Styela clava: one gene and its partner. The protein of the gene in region 1 purifies or fractionates together with the protein of each later gene. This does not show direct contact. Links are inferred from orthologs where the notes say so. Each region holds a gene or a part of one and is shown in the gene's direction. Other genes may lie near its edges.

Region 1 (10,167 bases):
GTGCATAACAATGTAAAAAAATGCGCATGAGGAAAATCTTCTTTTATATAAACTTGAACACCATGTTTCGACCCACTCATGACTGCCGCGCCGTCATAAGTTTGAGCTATCAATTTTGACTTCGCGTTGTAAGGCTGTAACACTTCTTTCAGTACAGCCGATATCCCGCAAGCCGTGCGATCAACGATTGGTACAAAGCTGTGAAATCTCTCGGTAGGTTTACCATCTTTCACAAACCGAAAAATCACAGCCAGTTGGGAAACGCACGTGATGTCAGTTGTCTCGTCAGACTGAATCGAAAGGAACTGGCAATTCTCAATTTCCAGAGCCAAATGTTGTGAATAAATTTTATACATTGAGTCGAGCAAATCATTTTGGATATCCTTAGATGTCCCTTTCGAAACAGTTGCGGCATCAAGATGATCTCTCAATACTGTATCTAGGGATGCGGTGTATTCCACCATATCCAAAAATACCCCTCTATTAGAAGAGCCAGCCCGTTCATCGTGCCCACGGAGGGACAGCTCGTGACAACCAATGAACTTCAAAACATCTATCAATCGACCGAGAACATGGCGGTTTTTCTCGACGTTTTGGTTGTGCCGACAAATAGAAACCGCGCGTCCTTCATTCAACTGTGCTGCAATATTAACATTTCCGAATGTTCGGTATTTTACTGCATTGTCCAGATGCTCCATAGAAGATTGATGATCCCTGGCACGCTCGGAAAGATGTTTAAGATCTCTAAAACCAAATTTACACCAACGTGAGTCACGGGCGGTAGCAAAAAGTAGGCAATAAAAACAAAAAAGTGCATTTTTGTCCTCGCTGTAACACAACCATTCGTGTTTTTTATACCAAGTTTCTGCGCAGAATGTACGCCGACGCTTTCCTCCGTCATGGGATTGTTCCAGTGAACAATTTTTTGGTTGATAAGGCCCAAGACGTTGTACCTCTAATTTTTGTTCCAGCGGCAGCTGCAAAAACAGAGTGCGAAGTAGTGCAGCAACCTTATTCATTATGAGGTCTAAGGCTAAGAAATGCGAAGCCGGAAAGAAGTGAGGAGCTCAAAAGGAATGTGGAAAATCGAAAGCAAATGGACTAAAGGTCTCTAACTGATTCAAATAGCGAAACAAGCGACAAAAACGAAGGCGAGGAAACTATCAACTCTTCAAGCAACCAACGAACGAGAAGGAATGCGTGAATATGTCAACACGTTGTTGGAAGAAACGTCGGCATTGTGTCGTCATAATTTCGGGGCTAGCCCCGATGATTTAGTAAAAGAAACAGAAAACAAACGAGACGAACGCGGCGAGTGGAAGATAAAAGAGAGAATACGATATACAATGAGCAACCGGGGCAAAATCGGCGTCGCCCCGTCGACGTTCGGCGAAGGCTTTGCGAGCGAAAAATGAACCATGTCGGGAGAATATGGCTAGTGTAGACAGTCTGTGCAACCGATATTGAGGTATTTTTCGAATATTTTTTATTGTACCGAAAAAACAACCGGGGCATTGCCCCGGTTGGCCCTATCGACGCGCCGCCACTGTGTAATAATATTTTTTATTTTTTTTGGTGGGCGGGCGCGTACTTTTACGTTTTTTAACTTTATTTTAAGTTATGCTCGCCTTCCAGGTATCTCTGCATTTTGTTTGTTTGTCCAGTTTTTGTGTTGTTTTTATGTCAGAGTAACGAAATAAATGATTGATTGATAGAATCAGTTCTTCAAAGCCTTTCGACGGACCATCAGTACCGGTACGTTCATTACATAAAACGAACCCCAACTGCGTAACCCCTCACAGTCGGAGTTTCCTATGCATAAGCATTTCTGTTTTACCGCGGTAGTATATATTTACGGTTTTACATTATTGTTTTAATCTTCACAAAACTACGTGATATGGAACTAGGATTAAATGGCAAAAACAGAAGTTAAACCGTGAATATATACTACTGGCCCTAAAGATTATTATTATTATTTCTTAGTTTCTTTTTTTATGTTATTATTTTAACCTTCTGGCGACCGGAAACTTTCCAAGTTCTTGAGGTCATGCCAAGGTCATCAGTTGATAGAAAGTACTTTACGTAAGATGTGAGCTGTTCCAAGAAAAACGGTTTTTTGAAGCTGTTCTGCATTTATATTTCCTGGAATATGTTGGACATATTTTTCAAATTATTTTCCGATAAGTCCAAGCGCCCCCACCACAACTGGTATTGTTGAAGTTTTGAGTCCCCACATCTTTTGTATCTCGATTTCTAGATCTTTGTATTTTGAGAGTTTTTCAAATATTTTTTTAGAGGTGTTCCTTTCGGATGGTATAGCTACATCAATTAGCAGACAGGATTTTTTTGTGAAATCTTTTACTATAATATCAGGTCGATTTGCTCCTATAGTTTTGTCAGTGTGAACAGTAAAATCCCACAAAATTGTTTCATTTTCTGCTACCGGTTCAGGCTTGTGATTGTACCACCTGTCTTCTGTAGGTATATGGTAGTGTTTGCAAATTTTCCAGTGCAAATAGGATCCGATTTTGTTATGCCTTTCTGTATATTCTGTCGGTGCCAAAACTTTACACCCGGATACAATGTGGTCAATGGTTTCATCAAACGATTGGCATATTCTGCATTTTGGATCAATGTTTAGTTTCATAATTTTATTCTTGTGAGCGTTGGTCGGGAGACTTTGGTCCTGAGCAGCAATTATAAATCCTTCCGTTGTGGGTTTCAGACCTGAACTTTTTAGCCATTATGCGTTTGTTGTTCATTTACATCCAGTGCACATGTTCTAGTGAGATATTTTCCATGCAATGGTTTATCATGCCAAATTTTTAGTCTCTGCTTTTCAATTTCTTTCTTATACTTGAGCTTGACATCTTTTGCCATCTTGTTTGCACCTTTTTTCTCAGTTAAGAAATTAGTAACACCAGTTTCCTTCATAAATTCATCAGTTTTATTGAAGATTGAGTCGAAACGCCTATTTTTATTTTTATCGAAATCTCGCACGATGCGCATTAGTGGATCTTCTGTTTCGGTCAAATATATTTTCAGTCCTACAGTAGATGCTTTGTAACTTTCCTCAATTTGAATCAGACTTCGTCCACCCTTGCTTCGCGATAAGTACAAACGTTCAGTGTCTGCTCGAGGATGATGTATCTTATTTATCGTCATTAGTTTTCTCGTTTTGGTATCAAATTGTTTGATTTCTTGCTTAGTCCACTTGATGATATTGAAACTGTACAAAACTACTGGTATTGCAAAACTGTTAATTGCCTTGAAGATGTTTATTATTATTATACTACGGTTAAACACTCTACTCGCGAACGCGCAATGAAGGCAAATTCTGGAATGAGTTCTAAGTACTACGTCATCGAAGGCCATTTCCAAACTGCGGTCGATTTTTGTTGGAGCGGTCGTCAAAAATTGTGAAAATATATATAGAATCGAATTCACCAAAATAGAGTTTTGGTGATTACCTCCATTCAAACTTTGACGATTATGCGGTTCAAATCAGGAACTCCAACTCCAACAGTTCGGCGCGAAAAAAATCTTTCAAATTTTTACTACGGTATAGTTTAGTATCACATGCACTTCTAGTTGGCCTGGTTCAAAATTTTTTGTATATGTTATTTATCATCCCCACCTGATTACGTCACTACGACGCCACAGTTGCGTAATGAATACCTCCAAAGTGTAAGGATGGTCGCCCAAAACGCGCAGACGATCACCCGGAATCGGAGGCGCAGTTCTTACCACTTCTTACCACTTCTTACCACTCGTGCATCTTACCTGTGACACACGGGGTCCCACAAGGATCTAATTTGGGGCCTTTATTATTTTTGATCTACATCAACGATCTCGCCCATTGTTCATCATTCTTCTCAAAATTATTCGCGGATGACACCAATCTCCTCGACAGCGACAAATCTCTCCCTGCTCTTCATTCAAGAGTCAACTCTGAAATAGTAAAAGTAGCTAATTGGATGAAGGCTAATAAATTATCTATAAACGTTGACAAATCCAAAACTATGCTTATTTCACCAAATAAACATAAAACTCACACCAAATTTTCGATTGATATTGGCAACACTAGATTAGAAAATGTAAGTTCTTACAAATATTTGGGCATATTTTTGGATAGCCAATTGAAATGGGATATTCACATAATGAACTTGGCTGCTAAACTATCTAGATCGGTTGGAATACTGTACAAACTTAGGCACTTTGTACCTGTAACAACTCTCCGTATGATTTACCATTCTCTATTCCAAACCCACATTCAATATGGCATTATTGCATGGGGTTCAGCCAATAGAACTCTATTACATCAAATCGAGATTATCCAAAATAGAGCCATCCGTGCTCTTTCTGGTAGTGGACGTCGCGAACAACTCAATCCAATCTACCATGAACTTCAAATTATAAAACTGACAGATATTCATAAAATAGAGGTACTGAAACTGATGCATCAACATCATAACAATAAACTCCCTGTCACATTTACTCATTATTTCTATAAGCAAAGTAATATTCATTCACATAGTACACGGTCTTCTACCCTTGGTTCTTACTATGTGCATCGTTTCACCACCAAACTAACACAAAATTCAATAAAATATTTAGGTGTTAAATTATGGAACTCTTTGGCTGATAGTATTCGAAACATGAATTACGATGCATACAAACAAGCATTGAAAAAGGTATACCTAGGCGGCTATATACTTGATCCGTCTGCTTTTCAAATAATATGATTTCCTTTACTGGCGTATTGTATATATCAGTATATAGACGTTCATATAGTCTCCGTAACGTACGGCACCTTTCCGGTCTTGATGCCTCGCCCTGTTACCGGTACTGTGATGGGATATTGTTCCGTACAAATTCCGATTTACTTGAATTCTTGCTGTTACCATATACAGTTATTTTTTGTGTGATCCTACTCCACTAATAAAATGGTCCTTACGTTTCGTATCCAATATGCCTCAGTAGGCTACAACAACCAGCTTTTGATCGCTGCTAGCAACGAGCTTCATTCATTTCTTGTTACGGTGCATGAACGCACAGTTTAACCCCACGAGGGCGCTGTCGCGTGTATTATTACTCTGGTGGTATTTTGTTTCTCTGTTAATTATGATTGATTAAATTTGTATAATTTTTTTTTGTCATTCCCTCTAAATCTCCAGCCCATAGGTGTCGCTGACTCGATGACTGTCACAGTCTTTCGCGACTCCTTATCTATTGCTATGAATTTCTCACTTGTATGAATTCTGATGTGTATATTTAATTTTTTACGATTGTCATTATGCACGTTTGTCAATTTTTCGTGCTTTAAATTTTGTGTTAATTCTTGCATGATAGAAATAAATTATCTGAATCTGAATCTGAATCTGAATCATGGCAGCTCCTGCCACAAACGAACCGCGGCAGCTCTTGCCATGGTTTTATAGCGCTATTCAGTAATCAGTATTAACGGTATATTCACAAATTAATGTACCAGATTTTAATTGATCATGTGGAATTATATCTACTTAAACCCTAACCCTAACCCCAAATCAATCAAAACTGTATCCATAAGAAAAACGTTCCAACTTACCCAATATTTGTCACCATAATAGACAGCCCTGTCTTTACGGCCCACCTGCCGCGGTTACGGCAGCAAAATTTTACCTGCCATTGGTTTTCAATTTGCTGCCGCGGTAACGGCAGCTCGACATTGGTTTGTGGCAGCTAAAAAGTCAGTTGCCATGAGTTTGGCCGTAGCGGCCATGGTATGGAAATACCGCCATGGTTTTGCGGCAGCTGCAGATGCCACAGAATACTTAAAACTGCACTTGCGGAATCGAGCAAGCTATTTCTCGTCGCAACGATCCCGATATGCGAGAGACCGCTGGCTAGTGAGTTCGGGATTGTCTGCGCAGGTGCCATTTCGGACGATGGTATCTATACTTGGCAAGCTCTATGATGGGATTGTGACGTCGTAGTGACGTAATTTTGTATAACATAGTCAGGTGGGGGTTAGGAATAAAATATACTAAATTCGGTACCGTACCGGTATGCTACGCCCATCGGAAGTACGGTACCGCAATTCCAGTTAATCAGTGCAAAATATCGTTCATCGAATGCTGAAATGTTTTAGCGATCTACAGATTTAGAAATCTGAGGCCAGTATGCAAGCCTTTTTGTGGCGAATGACACACCGACACTAAACACATAAACCAGTACCGGTACTGTAGTATCTAAATGGAGTAAATAATTTTGACTGCTGCATTGTAAGTTTGTTTATAGTAATCACTTTGTTACAGTATCCAAAACTCACAAGTAAATTTCATTTTCCAATATCTTAATATCCATGTACAGATGCAAATGGGCATATCGAGTAACATACGAAAAATATAGCCTAATCATTAACCGTGTGTCATGGGTAAGGAAGATAAAGTTGAGACTGATGTCTATGAGTATATGAAAATACAAAATAGACCATACAGTGCTGCAGATGTTTTTTCTAATCTACATAAAGTTCATGGAAAAACAGCTGTAGTAAAAGCAATGGAGACACTTGCAGTTGATAAAAAATTAATTGAAAAAGCTTACGGTAAATCAAAAATATATGTTATTAATCAAAACGAATTTCCAGAAGTTTCCGATTTAGAAATTACTAAACTAGAAGAGGATATCAAATTATGGACTGAAAAATGTGAGACATCACAATCTGAACTGAAACTTATAAAAGCATCTCTGCGGACACATCTTAGCAGTCTAACAACAGAAGGTGCAAAGTCAAAAGTAAATCAATTGCAAAAAGAAGTAGAGCAACTCAAAGAACGTTTAACTAAAGCGAAACAATCCACAAAAGATATAAGCGAAGAAGATAAAAAAAATATTTATAAAAATCATAAACAATTTGTTTCACATTGGAAAAAGCGAAAGAGGATGACAACCGATCTAATGGAAGCTGTGTTGGAAGGATATCCAAAGTCTAAAAAAGTTTTTATTGAAGAAGTTGGAATCGAGACCGATGAGGAATGCAATGCTAAGATACCTGAAGTTTGAAACTTGTTTCGTGGATAATGGGCATCACTATATTATGATTTGAACAAATAAGCATTGTGTATTCTGGATTTATTCCACAAATATTCCTGCTTTTAATGATCCCATTTGAATTGTGTGATTAATGTGTCTGTATGTTTTTTGGTTCAAGTCCACTTAAATACTACCTGACTTCTCCAATAATAAGGATCATTGGAACTCACCTGATCAATCTCATAACAGCAAATAATCAAATTACATTAGCAATTCAGTGCAGTGGGTCTCGGTATTTTGAAATTACTTTTTCATACCATTACAGTATATATAGTATATTTTTAAATATTGCAATACAAAGACCTCTCTCATTTCTTTTTTAAGCAGGCTACAGTTCTAGATTTTAATCCTGAAGCAAGGATGAGACAGTTTCAAAATCATGTGATGGCCCTAATTCGATTACCAAGTCTTAGAAATTTGTGTAATTGAAATTATGTTCATGTGGAAATTTTGATTGAATCTATGAGAATATATCTGAACTGTGTGAAAAATGATATCTCCTGCTTAGAGAATATTTGATCTCATAGACAATTTCCTAACGCTTTGTATGTTATTACACCAAGGTTACAGGTTAATCAAATAAGCAAGCAATGGGAGATTTTTTGTTTATTTTCATTTGTTATAAATTGATGCAATTGATTGAAACGAATTAAGTCCTGAGTAATATATTCATAGACCATCTTCATTTGGACTTTATTGCACAAGAATTTTTTGTCTATAATATAAAACTTGACTTGAGCGTACCCTAAGATATCATGGTTTTCTAGCCCATCTCAAACTGTAAATGGGTTGAATATTGTGTCGGAATTCTAGACTGAACTTCTACTGTTTCAAGTTTCTATGTCCATGAAATGGTTTTAGCCCAAGACTGTCTCATTTGTGCAATGCTGTAACATGTTCTGCCGATACATTGTTTTGTCATGCTCTGGGAGTTAATGATTGTGTTGGTATATATTTATATCTTGTTAATTTTTTTGGTTATGTTCTGACTACCGTTATGTTCCACCTCTTCTTGCTTCTGTCTTTTCATTGTTCCGTTCATTAAAAGGTGTAATATTTTTTCAATGTACGTTTCAAAGTCAAGGTTCAGGATTTCCCTCAGCAATCTTAAGTGTATGTTTCGATTTCTTGGCACGTGCCATTTTCGCAGTGCGATTTTCAGGAAATTTGGTTTCATTAGGGATATGTGTTGTAAAATCTCGATTCTGTTGTAAATTTTCAAATACGTCGCGATTCTCATTAAAAATCTCCTGGTTAACCTCAAGACGGTTGTGCGGCAGGCGTAGTACAAAATCTACCAATGCGCCTCATACTTTCGTTTTTTTTCTGATAAGACAAATCAGAACTACCATGGTTCAGGTAGATGATTCTGGATTCATTAGCTTCTTAAGGTTTGACGTAATTGATACTTTTACTGGTATTTTGTTTGGGATAGTCGCGTTGTTGAACAATTTTTTCAACAAACTTCTATATGTATATATATATTATATATATGTGCCTTTGCGTGATATAGTATAATTATGCTGAGTGGGGCACAAAATAGAAAATTTCCTGCAGTTTCATTATTTGATAAGATTATTTCACAGGGTGTTTTCACTTTATGGATTGATTTGTCAACAAATGAATGAAAGTATGGGGCATGAATCGTTTAATCACAATAGAATTTGGAATCGCCCGATATATCCTACTACAAATACCCGTGGGCGCAGCGAAGTCTAACATTTGTTGTTGTTTGACAAGCAATGTGATCTGTAGATAACGGTCTAATCTAGTCTCTTTCTAACTACAGTTTCACAAAACTGAGATAACCATCGTAAAAGTACTGTAGACGCGAAAAATATATTTAAATTCCTAATATTCGTAAGAAACGGAAATGGATTGCCTTCGGTATTAGCAAAGGGAATTGCGATGGTCTAGAATGTGCGCTTGCATTGCTCGTAATTGTTTTTGTAAAGGTGAACAGGAAGGCCATGTGTGCTAACAGCCACCAAAAAGGGGCCACGAGCCATATAAACTTGGGAATCACTGGACTACTAAAACATGGGAGCCTAGCAATTATGATCTGCTTCCCAGTAGAAACTCGAAGCAAGCATTTGTAAAAAATGACCGGACTCACAATTACTTCTTTTGTCACTGACATGCAGTCAAACATAGCCACAGCCTCGGCTCATAGATATCATAAACCACAAATGACAATTCAGCCACAATAACACGTCTTATGATATCGGATATGACGAATCGTCATTGTGTCGTATGACCACACTACACTATATTGCACCTTCAACAGCGGAAACAATTATTTCGTGCATTATATATAACATGACGGGTGAACGCTTTTTTTTATCGCGCATTCAGAATAAATGATTTCTCAGAAGCGGACAAATATATATATGGAGTATGGAAATTTGTGATGTACAAAGATGAGAGATCAGTAAATATATTCAGGCTGAGTTCTATATAACACGAAATGAATATAAATTTTCAAATCGATTGGGAGCTATAGCTAAATTATTATGGCATTGCAGTGATGGTGAACATAAAATAATGATTTGGGATGCCGATATACAAGGTCAAGTTGTTCGATTGTAGAAGGTTGATTTTAATTTTGATCACCCGAAGAAAATGACAGTTTGATCATCTATATTTTTGAAATGAAGCTTTTTTCAAATTCATATAATTTCGTTCAAGCTAAATTCTATGAACATTCACATTAACTTTGCGTAGGAAATAGTATATAGTTTCAACCAAATCTATAATCACCGTCCCCTTTTGAATCACCAATTTGGAATATATGCCAATACGAGCAAATTGCAATATATTTGGACATGTTAGAGGAGCAATAGTCACACCATACATGCAGCGCAATTTATTGGTACAAATTATCACAGGACCACAGCCCGAACAAAAGTAATTTGCCTTCAATTATTACTAATGTGGAAACTAAAATATGAGTCAGGGAGCGAAGCAGGATGCGTTGTGACGTCATCCTGTATGGTATATCGAAGAAGGAAGTCACTATGGTTCTAGGTTAGGAGAGACAAGCCCTATGTTCTGTGTTTTATCTGTTTCGTGTTTCTGCAGCGAGCGGTTGTT
Region 2 (10,304 bases), on another chromosome or scaffold:
TGATTTTTAGTGCTAATCTACTCATATATATATATATACGAAGCGTTACAAAATAACTTTAAAATGCCCGCATCTTGGGGCAACAAAAACCTTTGGTCAAAATATTTGGCGGCAAAGGGTAAGCGCTGAGAAGGTCATACTTCTTTACTCATGCGGAACTATGACGTCACACAGAGGTGGTGTCTCTATCAAAGCAATGACATTAAACAACATGATAGGCAACTCCGACGTCACTCCATAAGACTACAGGCAAAACATTGTATTTCATGATACGCTCCAATGCACATATTTCTCGTCGCCTTTCGCGTCCGTTTTCCGCTCGCTCTTGCTACTCGGCGTCTTTTTTACGTATAGTACCTGCCTTTTTGCGCCTGTAACGAAACAAAATAATCTCTATATCTAAGAAGTTTTGCTTACTTGGAAAGCTGGAATAACAGGCAAGCTGTAAAGAGCAATTCTGGACATCATAGACGTTTTTTTTTTATCAGAGAAGATTACAAACGCGATAGCGGGAAGATTTGTGTGGAACATTTTGCAGATAATGACAAAGTTCAAAGTTAGTAATTTTAATGTTTGCGCTTAATCATTGAAATTTCATTTAAAGAGGGTGTCATACAAAACTGTGCTGCGATACAATTCCATAACACAAAGTTTGCACCTATCGAACTTGCTTTTGTAGGTGAATTTATTAGACATATTACATATTCAGTTAATCGTAGGTAACATTGCTGGTACATAATGCATCGTAGATAGGTTTGTTTAAATTTAGGAATTTAGCTCATAGCCCACTAATTAATATTATCTTCTATGCAGGAGGTTGCAGGGCTGAATTAAACTTGCAGCCTTACCGATCACCTGACGATGCTCATTTAGTTTGGCTCGAGCAAGTCTTCTTGAAATGCTTGTGTGGATGGAAACTACCTATATTTTTTGCCTTCCTCCGATTTTAGACAAATTTATTCTGAGGGATTTCGCATATAATTCTCACTGATTGTTGGCTGTTTATAATTCCTATTGATTGTGAATTCTGATTATAACAATGAGTTGAAAATTTTTTTACCTAATTTACTGGCACCTTTTTCTTGTCAATACTCCAAGCTGAGGTAATAAACATGACAATACATTTATGTCATCTGGAAGCAAAATATGCACACTAATTAATAGTTTGGCACATTGAGATAATACATCATGACAGAAAATACAAGTTCAAGATATGTATGACCATCACATGGTAATTAAAATTAAAAAAAAATAATAGGGGCTGTGGAGTATGGAAAGTTCAAGACAAAGAAAAGAACAAATGTTCATAGCTCATGAACTCTCAATTTGGCCTCCATTGCTTTGTGAAGGCCAGTATATTTCGAGTGGCTGACTTGGTTTACCTTTATGATAGCAACGATTTTGTATTTAATATAGCGAGATTATTTCAATTTAATTGAAGTGATATAATTTCCCAAAGCAATGCTTGAATCGTCTAGAATAGATCAGTGGTGTCAAACTCATGGGTTTTTGAGAGCCGCATTGCATTTTGAAAATTGTAAAAAGAGCCGCAAACAGTTTTTGATAATGTATACTTAAAAGATATTTTTAAGATAGTTTTAGTTTGTGACATATATTGTGATGCAACTAAACAGTTGGATTAAGTTTTATTATTTTCTTCAATTTCAAATGCAATTACATATTATTATTTGCATTCCACTATTATTGCAACATTTGCAAGTTACAGTATTTATTATAAAAAATCGTAAAATTCTATGTACAACCATCAAAATCATTTTTGAACAAGCTTTGAATAAGGAAAGAATAATACATACACTAAAAATAACTTAATCTAAATATATGAACCTAAAATTAACAAAAATACTACAGTATAAACTCAATGTTTTAATAATTACATTTGTCCTGGCGTTTGGCATCTTTTTTGTGTCACCAGCATACTAAGGCCAGTCTGAAATGATTTTATAGTACCAACTCTAACTAACGAGGCCACATGATCATGGGTTTATCTGGATCTTTACGAATGTTTAATTAATTCCAGTAATGCAAAAAAGTTACTTTTATCATTTCATGTATAGATCAGTAAAAAAACAAATGACAGATTTTTTCGACAAGACATTTCGCACTACATTGCGTGGCATAGGATTGCTTGAATTATTATTGATATTGATTTTTAGTAACTAAGTCGTTGTATAATTATATTAATATACAAACACATGGAAATTTTCTGTTCGAAGTTGGTCTTCGAATTTGTCATATTGACTGCTGAGCTTATTGTGTTTTTTGATTGTTTTGATGAAAATATGACAAATTAAACAATGTGCTTCAGAATTTTGTGAAGAGCAGAAATGTTACAACTCCCATTTTCTTCGAAAATGCCACCTTCTTCATGTACTTTGCGTTTAATTTAATTACTCAAGTGTTTTATTCAAGTATTCTTTTGCTAGCTTGATGTGTATTCTTAATTGGGTCAAAATGTGGACAAAAAAAATCAATATTCCAAAACTACTTTCAGTAAATTGTTTTTTGTGTGAATAATCAATTTCACTTTAGAAGGTTTGAAAAATCTATTACATTTAGATAAAAATAAAAAAACTTCCAAAATACTATTACAATTATTGTTAAACGTTCGAGGGCCGCACTGGAAGTTCTCTGGGGCCGCGAGTTTGAGATCCCTGGTCTAGATTGAAGTTGTTCAAAAAATATATGATAGTATTTTATCATGAATGATGATTATACCCCTTCCGGAATTTCTTCTATAGTACTACCAAAAGTTGATGAACCAAATATAACACAGGTGCAGTGAGGTACCCGTAATCCTCATTTCCAAAGCTGTTTTAAGTATGTCTGGCGTGTTTTGTGCCCTTTTACAAATAAGACCGCTTATGCAATCTTACGCTTCGGAATTTTTAGTTATTTTTCTCAAGCCCTGCAGGATGTGGGGGCCATACACAACTCTACCGGAGGGTCAAATGTCTTTGCATGCCTCCATAGGTTGTTTTTCTATTGCAATTTTCTATTTTCAAATGCATTATATTTCTTGGAATCACACTGTCACTGATATGTCGCCAGACTTCTGATATATCCCCGTCTGCTATAGTTGTCCTGTGAATAAATAATAGGAAATTGAGATTAGACGAATAGTTGAAAGTTTTGCTTTATGTCGGCTTAATTTCTTGATTGATATACTTACTATTTCTGCTATTGCCTCTTGTGCTGCAAGAGTCTCACAATGCTTGGACAGGTTTGTCCACAACTTTCACATCTGAAGAAGTTAAGAATAAATAAAGCAGTCTATATGATTCAGAATGGAAAAGCTAATAAATCCAATATCTTATGTTTTATTTAAAAAATATTTTACTGAATTTGGTATATAAACCAACTAATAAAAGGGTTTAGTCAGAAAATTACAAGCATTCGTGGCTCCAAATACTTGAGAAATCAGACTATACAATATAGACCGGTATGAGTGAAATGTTAGGTGAACTTGTTAACACTTTGATTCAATACGCAAATAAAAGTGAATGCGTAATAGTATGTTACAATGAGCAGCAATCAACAATGAGTATATATCCTCACTGATTAAAAAAATCTAACTGGAGGTGCATGAACTATTTGAAACCATAAGGGGTAAGTAAATATGTAATTTCGGCAAATGGGCAACTACGTACCGTATTCGTGCTACGCCTTGAAAGCAGCACACATCCGCTCGTTTTCGTCTCGTCAAGTATGTGCATTGGAGCGTGCTATCGAATACGATCTTCGGACAAAAATGCCGGAGTTGCGCATCATGTTGTTTAATGTCATTGATCAAAGTGACTATAAACCAAGTGGCGACACCGAGTGTAATGATGCATAACAGACGTCATTTTGTGTCCAGCGAATCGGGAAGAACGCGGCAGCGTCGGTTTGTTTTAGCTTCGTCAGAAGGTCTCGTTCGTCAATTTGTTTGAAGATTTTTTTTCTGTTTTGCATTTTATTCGGGTAATTTCATTATTTGTTATTTGCCTGTTTGCCTCGTGGAATCATACTTGTATCGTGCGGTTTCGTGAAAGTTGCGATAGTTATCTTATCATCCCGTGTGAGTTGTGCAACTTTGAAACCTCATATCTCACGAACCTTATATTATATGCAGATACGTTTTTTATTGTTTGAGAGACAATCTAGGAGACTGATTATATTTATGAGATAGAGATAAAATGTTGCGATTATCATACATAAATCGGCAAAATTGAGAAGCGTGGAATATTTTTGAAAAGCTTGTGAATTAAATAACAAAAACTTCGATTTGTTCTTGTTTTAACCTAATATGACATCGACACATTTGCATAGGTTAAAGATAGCTTTTGTCATTAGATAGAATTTATCGTGCACCAGTAAAATTGTATAAGTTATTTCATTCAATGTTCTCCAATTCTTGGCATGTCCACTGCGCCATCTTGAGTTAAACAACAACGTTCCCTAATTATTTCGTTACGCAATTACGTCGCAATGTTCCGTATGAAAAAAACATATCGCTTTCCTTCGCAAGTGTGAATCGTCATTAACCTAATGCATACGTTTAAATCAGGTACTATTTGAACCGGTATTATGATACCTGTTCACACCATGCCAAAAGTTTAAAGCCTGCGTTTTACATTAATCATTCCAGAAACTGATCGAATGAATTTTCTCGGGAAAATTTTTCTTAATTCAACGAGCTGTTGCAACAGTTGCTCCAAAAATTATAGAATGTAAACGATCTCATGGCTGGCACATTGTGTGCCTCATCAATTTCATCGAAGCATGTACATTATAGGGTACAAAATTGAAAAACCAGCCGCCGCGACTGGTGTTGCAGCTCTTATCAACCTATTATTGGCAGGATATTTCAATTCTTTTGCGTCGAAAAATGTAAAATATTTACTAGGTGATCTAGCGACGCCATTATGTCTTCTACGTTCTCGTTGATAAAACTTAATTGTAATTTTATCGATATCCAACAGTGAAAAATTAGCCTTGATGTTTCCGGGGGAACCCTATAAACCACGGGGTTCAAATTGATTGTTTGTTTCTATGAAAAGTGTCAATCCCGATGAATGCCCACAATCGTTACTAACTTTTTTTAGGTCTTACACGCATGATAAATATTTGAAAATTGATAGTTTTACCCAATATTCATGCCACTCATCCAAAAAAGCAATCGTATTTTTGCGCGAAGCATAAAATATATTTCGCGCCAATATTAATATTCATTTTCATAATATATGTTCGCCTATATTTACGGTTCGCCTCTTACTTTTCTGACAGATATAGTTGCTCGAAATATAATTTCCCATCCTGCAACAATATCGCTTTTAAAACTTTGAAACGTTTTCTCAATTTAAAGTTAAATATTCACGCGAAAGAGGAGACAAATAAAATTATTGAAAAACGGTATGCTAGTACACCTCTCGGCAAGAGCTCAAGTCAAATAGATAATATATTATTTTATACACTCCAGATTATTAGATGTTCTTGTAAACTTGGTATACGCCGTTATCCTTCATTCCAAGCATGTAGTATATTTTTTTAATATTATTTTGGCAATGTACACCTTGTTGAAAATGTTAAAATAGGTTTTGTGCAAGTAGCGATACTTACATCAGGAATTTTATAATAAAATGTGTATCTTTTGTTTAATATTTAGGTCTCATTGGGTGTTGATTCATCGAGTGAAGTTGGATGACTTTAACCTTAACTTCGTATATGCTGACCATACCGCCGAGCTGAGTTATCCGAGAAACATCTGCGAATATTTAATTTTTCAGAAGAATGTTCATTTGTTTTGCCGCTGGGAAACTTTGGTCCAAATTATTGAGCATCGTTTATTTTATTCAGCTGTTAACGATCGCAGGTTTAAATCACTCAGTTGGGATCATACAGCGATAGAATTCTGGACACAAAATGGCTGGTGTGACGTCACACGGGCGCTTATAACGTTACCAATGCATGTCCTAGTCCTCTATAGCAAAACGCCATTCTCGCAGCACTGCAATCTTAGGTAGATGTGAAAATGCTATTATTTTGAACAAGTCGCGTTTGCCAATGACCGTGACCATTCCGTCATTTTTTGTTATTCAAGGTTCCTGTCGAATAGACCACTCATACTATAACTATGGTGAGTTTGATTTACCAAATTATATTGGGGTATCTGCTACAATATGTTGATAGACATTTTAAATTAATCGGTATCTCAATTTTTGCAATCTGAATTCCCTATATTTTACTGTTGCAGTGTTCCTTTTTTTCACTTAGGTATACTGGTATATAAATGACATGTTAACACCCTGTTGCCTCAATTCTTTCATTTTCCTTCAACTTCTATCTGTAATTAGATCTGGCCTCTAACAATTGTTTGCATATTTAACACATCTGAGAAATGGCTTTTCGTTAACTACCAGATTTTTTTTTTGGCAGAATGAAACTGTTGTTTTTAATTTAACATTGGGTGTTCTTCATTCTATTTTTCAAATATTGCCTGAAATTAAGTTCCATTAGTATTCCACTACTAGCCCTACAAGACTCTCTCTCTCTCATTGGTATGCCTGTGTGTAGCCTCATCTATCATTGTGAGAAATTGATATGTCATGCAAGAATGATAATTGGAACAAATATGAATGTTTAAAAATAGTTTAACATGTTTCTGTATTGCATTGTTCACTGTTAGTTCAACTTACTTCAGGCATTATGTGTCAATATTTTAGGCATGTTCACATTTTTCATATTATCATGGGGGTAACAAGAAACCTGAATATACACTACTCAAACCATCAACTTTGTTTGCTACTAAACATAACCAAACTGATTTTTGTGCACACATTGACTTGTTTGCTCTTGGTGGAACAATTCCACTATATAGTTACACAAGAAGATTCGTCTTTATCCAAATAAATGGAATCCTGATACTTGCAAATTTAGGCATTCTCACCCTATTTTTTGTTCTCAAACACAATGATGAAGTATATCTCTGCCTGAAAAACTGATGACCATATATTTTTTGCAGTCAAAGAAAAGAGGTTTGAGTTATGAAGAGAAACGAAAAAGAATGTTGGATATATTTTTTGAAAAAAAGGAGTTCTTCCATATCAAAGAGATGGAAAAGATAGCACCAAAGCTTAAAGGAATTAGTATGTAATGTTAGATACCAAATTAAATTTGAATGCTGGGAATAATTTTTATTTTATTATTTATTTAGCTCCAATGAGTGTGAAAGAGGTGCTCCAAAGCTTAGTTGATGATGATATGGTTGAAACAGAAAAAGTGGGAACAAGCAGTTTTTATTGGGCGTTTCCAAGTAAAGCTGTGAATGTGAGGAAGAGAAAGCTACAACATTTGCAAAGTACATACAATGAACAAGAGAAAGAACTTGCATCAACTAAAGATGAGGTTGCGAAAGCAAAGAAAAGTCGTACGGAATCTGTGAGAGTTTTATTATAAATTATCTCTATTTTAACTTGAGGGCACCATACTTCAAATTAACATCAACAGATAACAAAAATTCTCGGCAAACTCTTTCAAATACTTTCAGAATGAACGAGAACGTTTGCTAAGTGAGCTAACGACGCTTCAAGCTGATAAGGATTCGTTGACAGAGGAATTGGCTCGATTAAAAGATTGTGACCCAGAGACTATAAAACAAATGCGTAAGCATACTTCCAAGTTCTGATCTGCTATAATTATTAGTAAACATCTATATTGAAACAAAAGTTAAAAAATTGCAAATATTTTTTTGCAGAAGAAGAAATAGGTATCGCAAAGGATGCAGCAAATAGATGGACAGACAATATATTTTCATTGAAAACATGGATAAAAAGGAAGTTTCCCATTGATGAAAACATCATCAACAAGCAATTTGATATACCAGAAGATTTGGACTATATAACATGACAGGCAAATTTTAGCGAAATTGACACTGCAGGGGAAGAAATTGGCATTGTAAAGGATGCAGCAAACAGGAGATAGATATATTTTCATTAATACCTTGGATAAAAGGGCGGTTTTTCATTGATGGTAACCTGATCAATGAGCAACTTGACACAACACATGACTATAAGCAAAAATCTGTCCGTTGTTTAATTAGGAAATCGAAAGGTTCCGATGCACATCTAATCAGATTGTAATGGCCATATGGTATCTATTACAAAAAGGAAATTTTAACAGATTGCTTCATAAATGGTGTATCAGTTTTATTTTATTATTTGATGGTAATAATTCATTGCTGTTTTTATTAAAGGACGTTTATACAAGCAATTTATCAGAAAATACATAATAGGATTGCTCAGTAGTTACAGACATATATTGCTGTGCCATATTGAGTTCATCCATCTCTATTGATCAGTACATTTTTCGCAAATCACTTTCTAGTGAATACAACTTGGCCTTAAGATTTTTGAGATCATTTTGAATAACTCTCGAACGTCCTGCAGTTGTACGAACAGTTTGTAGTACCTCCACATCTGAGACTGTACCACCAACTGTGACTTTATATAGTTGTTTTTCCACATCCTTCAAACGCTTACGCAACAATTTAATGTCATTCTTGAATCCTTCAACTTCTGAGCATCTGCGCTTCTCTAATGCTTCATATCGTTGTGTCATGAGTTGAAGCCGTTGTGCCATTTTATCAGTTCTCTCTTTAAAAACATTTTTGTGGACGTCTGACTCCTCCCTTATTCTAGCCAGTTGGTCTTCTGCTTGGATGCATTGTTCTCTGTACATGTCTGCAAGCTTCGCAGCTTGCTCCAACTGAGAGTTTAGTGCTTGAATTTCAGCTTCCATCTGTTGTTGTGCCTCGTAATCAGCGAGGTATGCAGCTTTTGATATAAGTTGTGATTTTTTAGATTCGCCATGCCTCGAAGCGAGCTGGTCTCGTGCCATGTCCAGCTCTTGTAAAAGCCTATCTTTTTCGCTCATCCATTCTTTCTCTTTATTTCTCTGCTCAAGTTTTAAATTCAGCATGTCTTTTGTGCTTTCGTATAACATTGATTGAGCATTTTTCATTTTGATCTCAACACGCTGCAACCGGTCCTTATCTCTTTCTCTGCAAAGATCAGCTTCTTCTCGCAAAATTTGGCGGTCGTCTAACAGTGAATTGATTTGGTCCCGAGAGAGTCTTGTTTGCTCTTCTAATTGAGCCTGAAGTGCCTCGACTTGAAGACAGAGTGTCTGATTATCTTTCCTTAGATCACTTGACACAGCCTGGTCTTCAGCCGATTTACTCTTTTTTATAGCATGAGATTTTTTTGATATTGCTGAACTTGCTTTGTTCGGTCTTCCTTCTTCATTCGGGAAGTTTGGCTTTGGAAGTTTTTGTGGAACAATAATTTTGGCTGGAGGATCCTTGTGAAAATAGGAAACTTCTGAAGCAGACGGCCCAGCAATCGCAAGTAAATGTTGAATACGTTTCTGATTTTCAACATCCCGAATCTTTAATCGATCATTTTCGGAATATAGGCGAAGTACTTGTTCCCTCTCTTGCATTATGCAAACTTGCATATCACTGACTGCCTTTTGAAGATCGGCAATTTCATTTTCCCTGTGATGTAATTCACTTTCCAAACGATGTTGATCTTCGTAAGTGCTTTTGTATTGGTCTAGAGTTTTCTGCAATTCACAGTTTTCTTCATCAAAATCCGCGATTTTTTTTCGATAGTACTCCAATAACTCTCGTGATGGACGAAGCTGTGCCAACCTGTGGGTTATAGGAGGAATGGGTGGGTCATCGCTGCCACCATTCAGCATATCGCTGCTTAAATCCATAACTGCTTACGCCTGACTTTCTAGCAATCTTCACAAACGTCCCCAAAAAGCATAGCATAGAATGAAGAAATTTTGAAGATCGCGGGCAAACGTTTACTCGTTTTTGTTGTTGGTAGCGTGGTGCCATCTAACGGTGATTATTCGTTATCTCGTGGATAGGATAGGATGTACATATTTATCCCGGGGGAGAGGAAATTCATATGGGATTAGTTAGTTATTTGTTTTTCGGAAGCATGGACTTGATGGTGGAGGAAGCCGTAACCGACCAGCGGTTACGTGAACCACCCTACGGCGGCGAGGAGTCCAGCAATCCTCTCGCACATATTCATCCTTGCATGGGATTCGAATCTTCGCACCCACGCAGAGTAATCAGAGGTGCAGTGGCGAGCGTATTTCTAACGCTTAGCACAATGTTTTTTATTACATATGTTCTGACGTTTGGCATCTCTTTTGTTCCACCAGTTTACTAACATTAGGTTAAATATGATTTTACAGATTCAACTCTAATTAACGAGGTCACATGATCA

Evidence for each region.
Region 2: the proteins of homologous-pairing protein 2 homolog (region 1) and meiotic nuclear division protein 1 homolog purify together in Homo sapiens (co-immunoprecipitation; 6 studies listed by BioGRID and IntAct, counting the BioPlex papers as one, with this or other methods). This does not show direct contact. The link is inferred for Styela clava from reciprocal best matches to the Homo sapiens genes PSMC3IP and MND1.

What each region holds. Positions count from the first base shown.
Region 1 is NC_135258.1:9,831,510-9,841,676, reverse strand, and holds homologous-pairing protein 2 homolog, read left to right. Parts: upstream 1-5,404; 5' UTR 5,405-6,411; coding exon 6,412-7,044; 3' UTR 7,045-8,139; downstream 8,140-10,167. UniProt on the Homo sapiens protein: Plays an important role in meiotic recombination. Stimulates DMC1-mediated strand exchange required for pairing homologous chromosomes during meiosis.
Region 2 is NC_135257.1:8,020,246-8,030,549, reverse strand, and holds meiotic nuclear division protein 1 homolog, read left to right. Parts: upstream 1-5,977; 5' UTR 5,978-6,133; coding exon 6,134-6,136; intron 6,137-7,021; coding exon 7,022-7,145; intron 7,146-7,213; coding exon 7,214-7,437; intron 7,438-7,546; coding exon 7,547-7,661; intron 7,662-7,729; exon of another isoform or gene 7,730-7,753; coding exon 7,754-7,905; 3' UTR 7,906-8,306; downstream 8,307-10,304. Other genes in the region: coiled-coil domain-containing protein 77-like, read right to left, coding at 8,353-9,777. UniProt on the Homo sapiens protein: Required for proper homologous chromosome pairing and efficient cross-over and intragenic recombination during meiosis.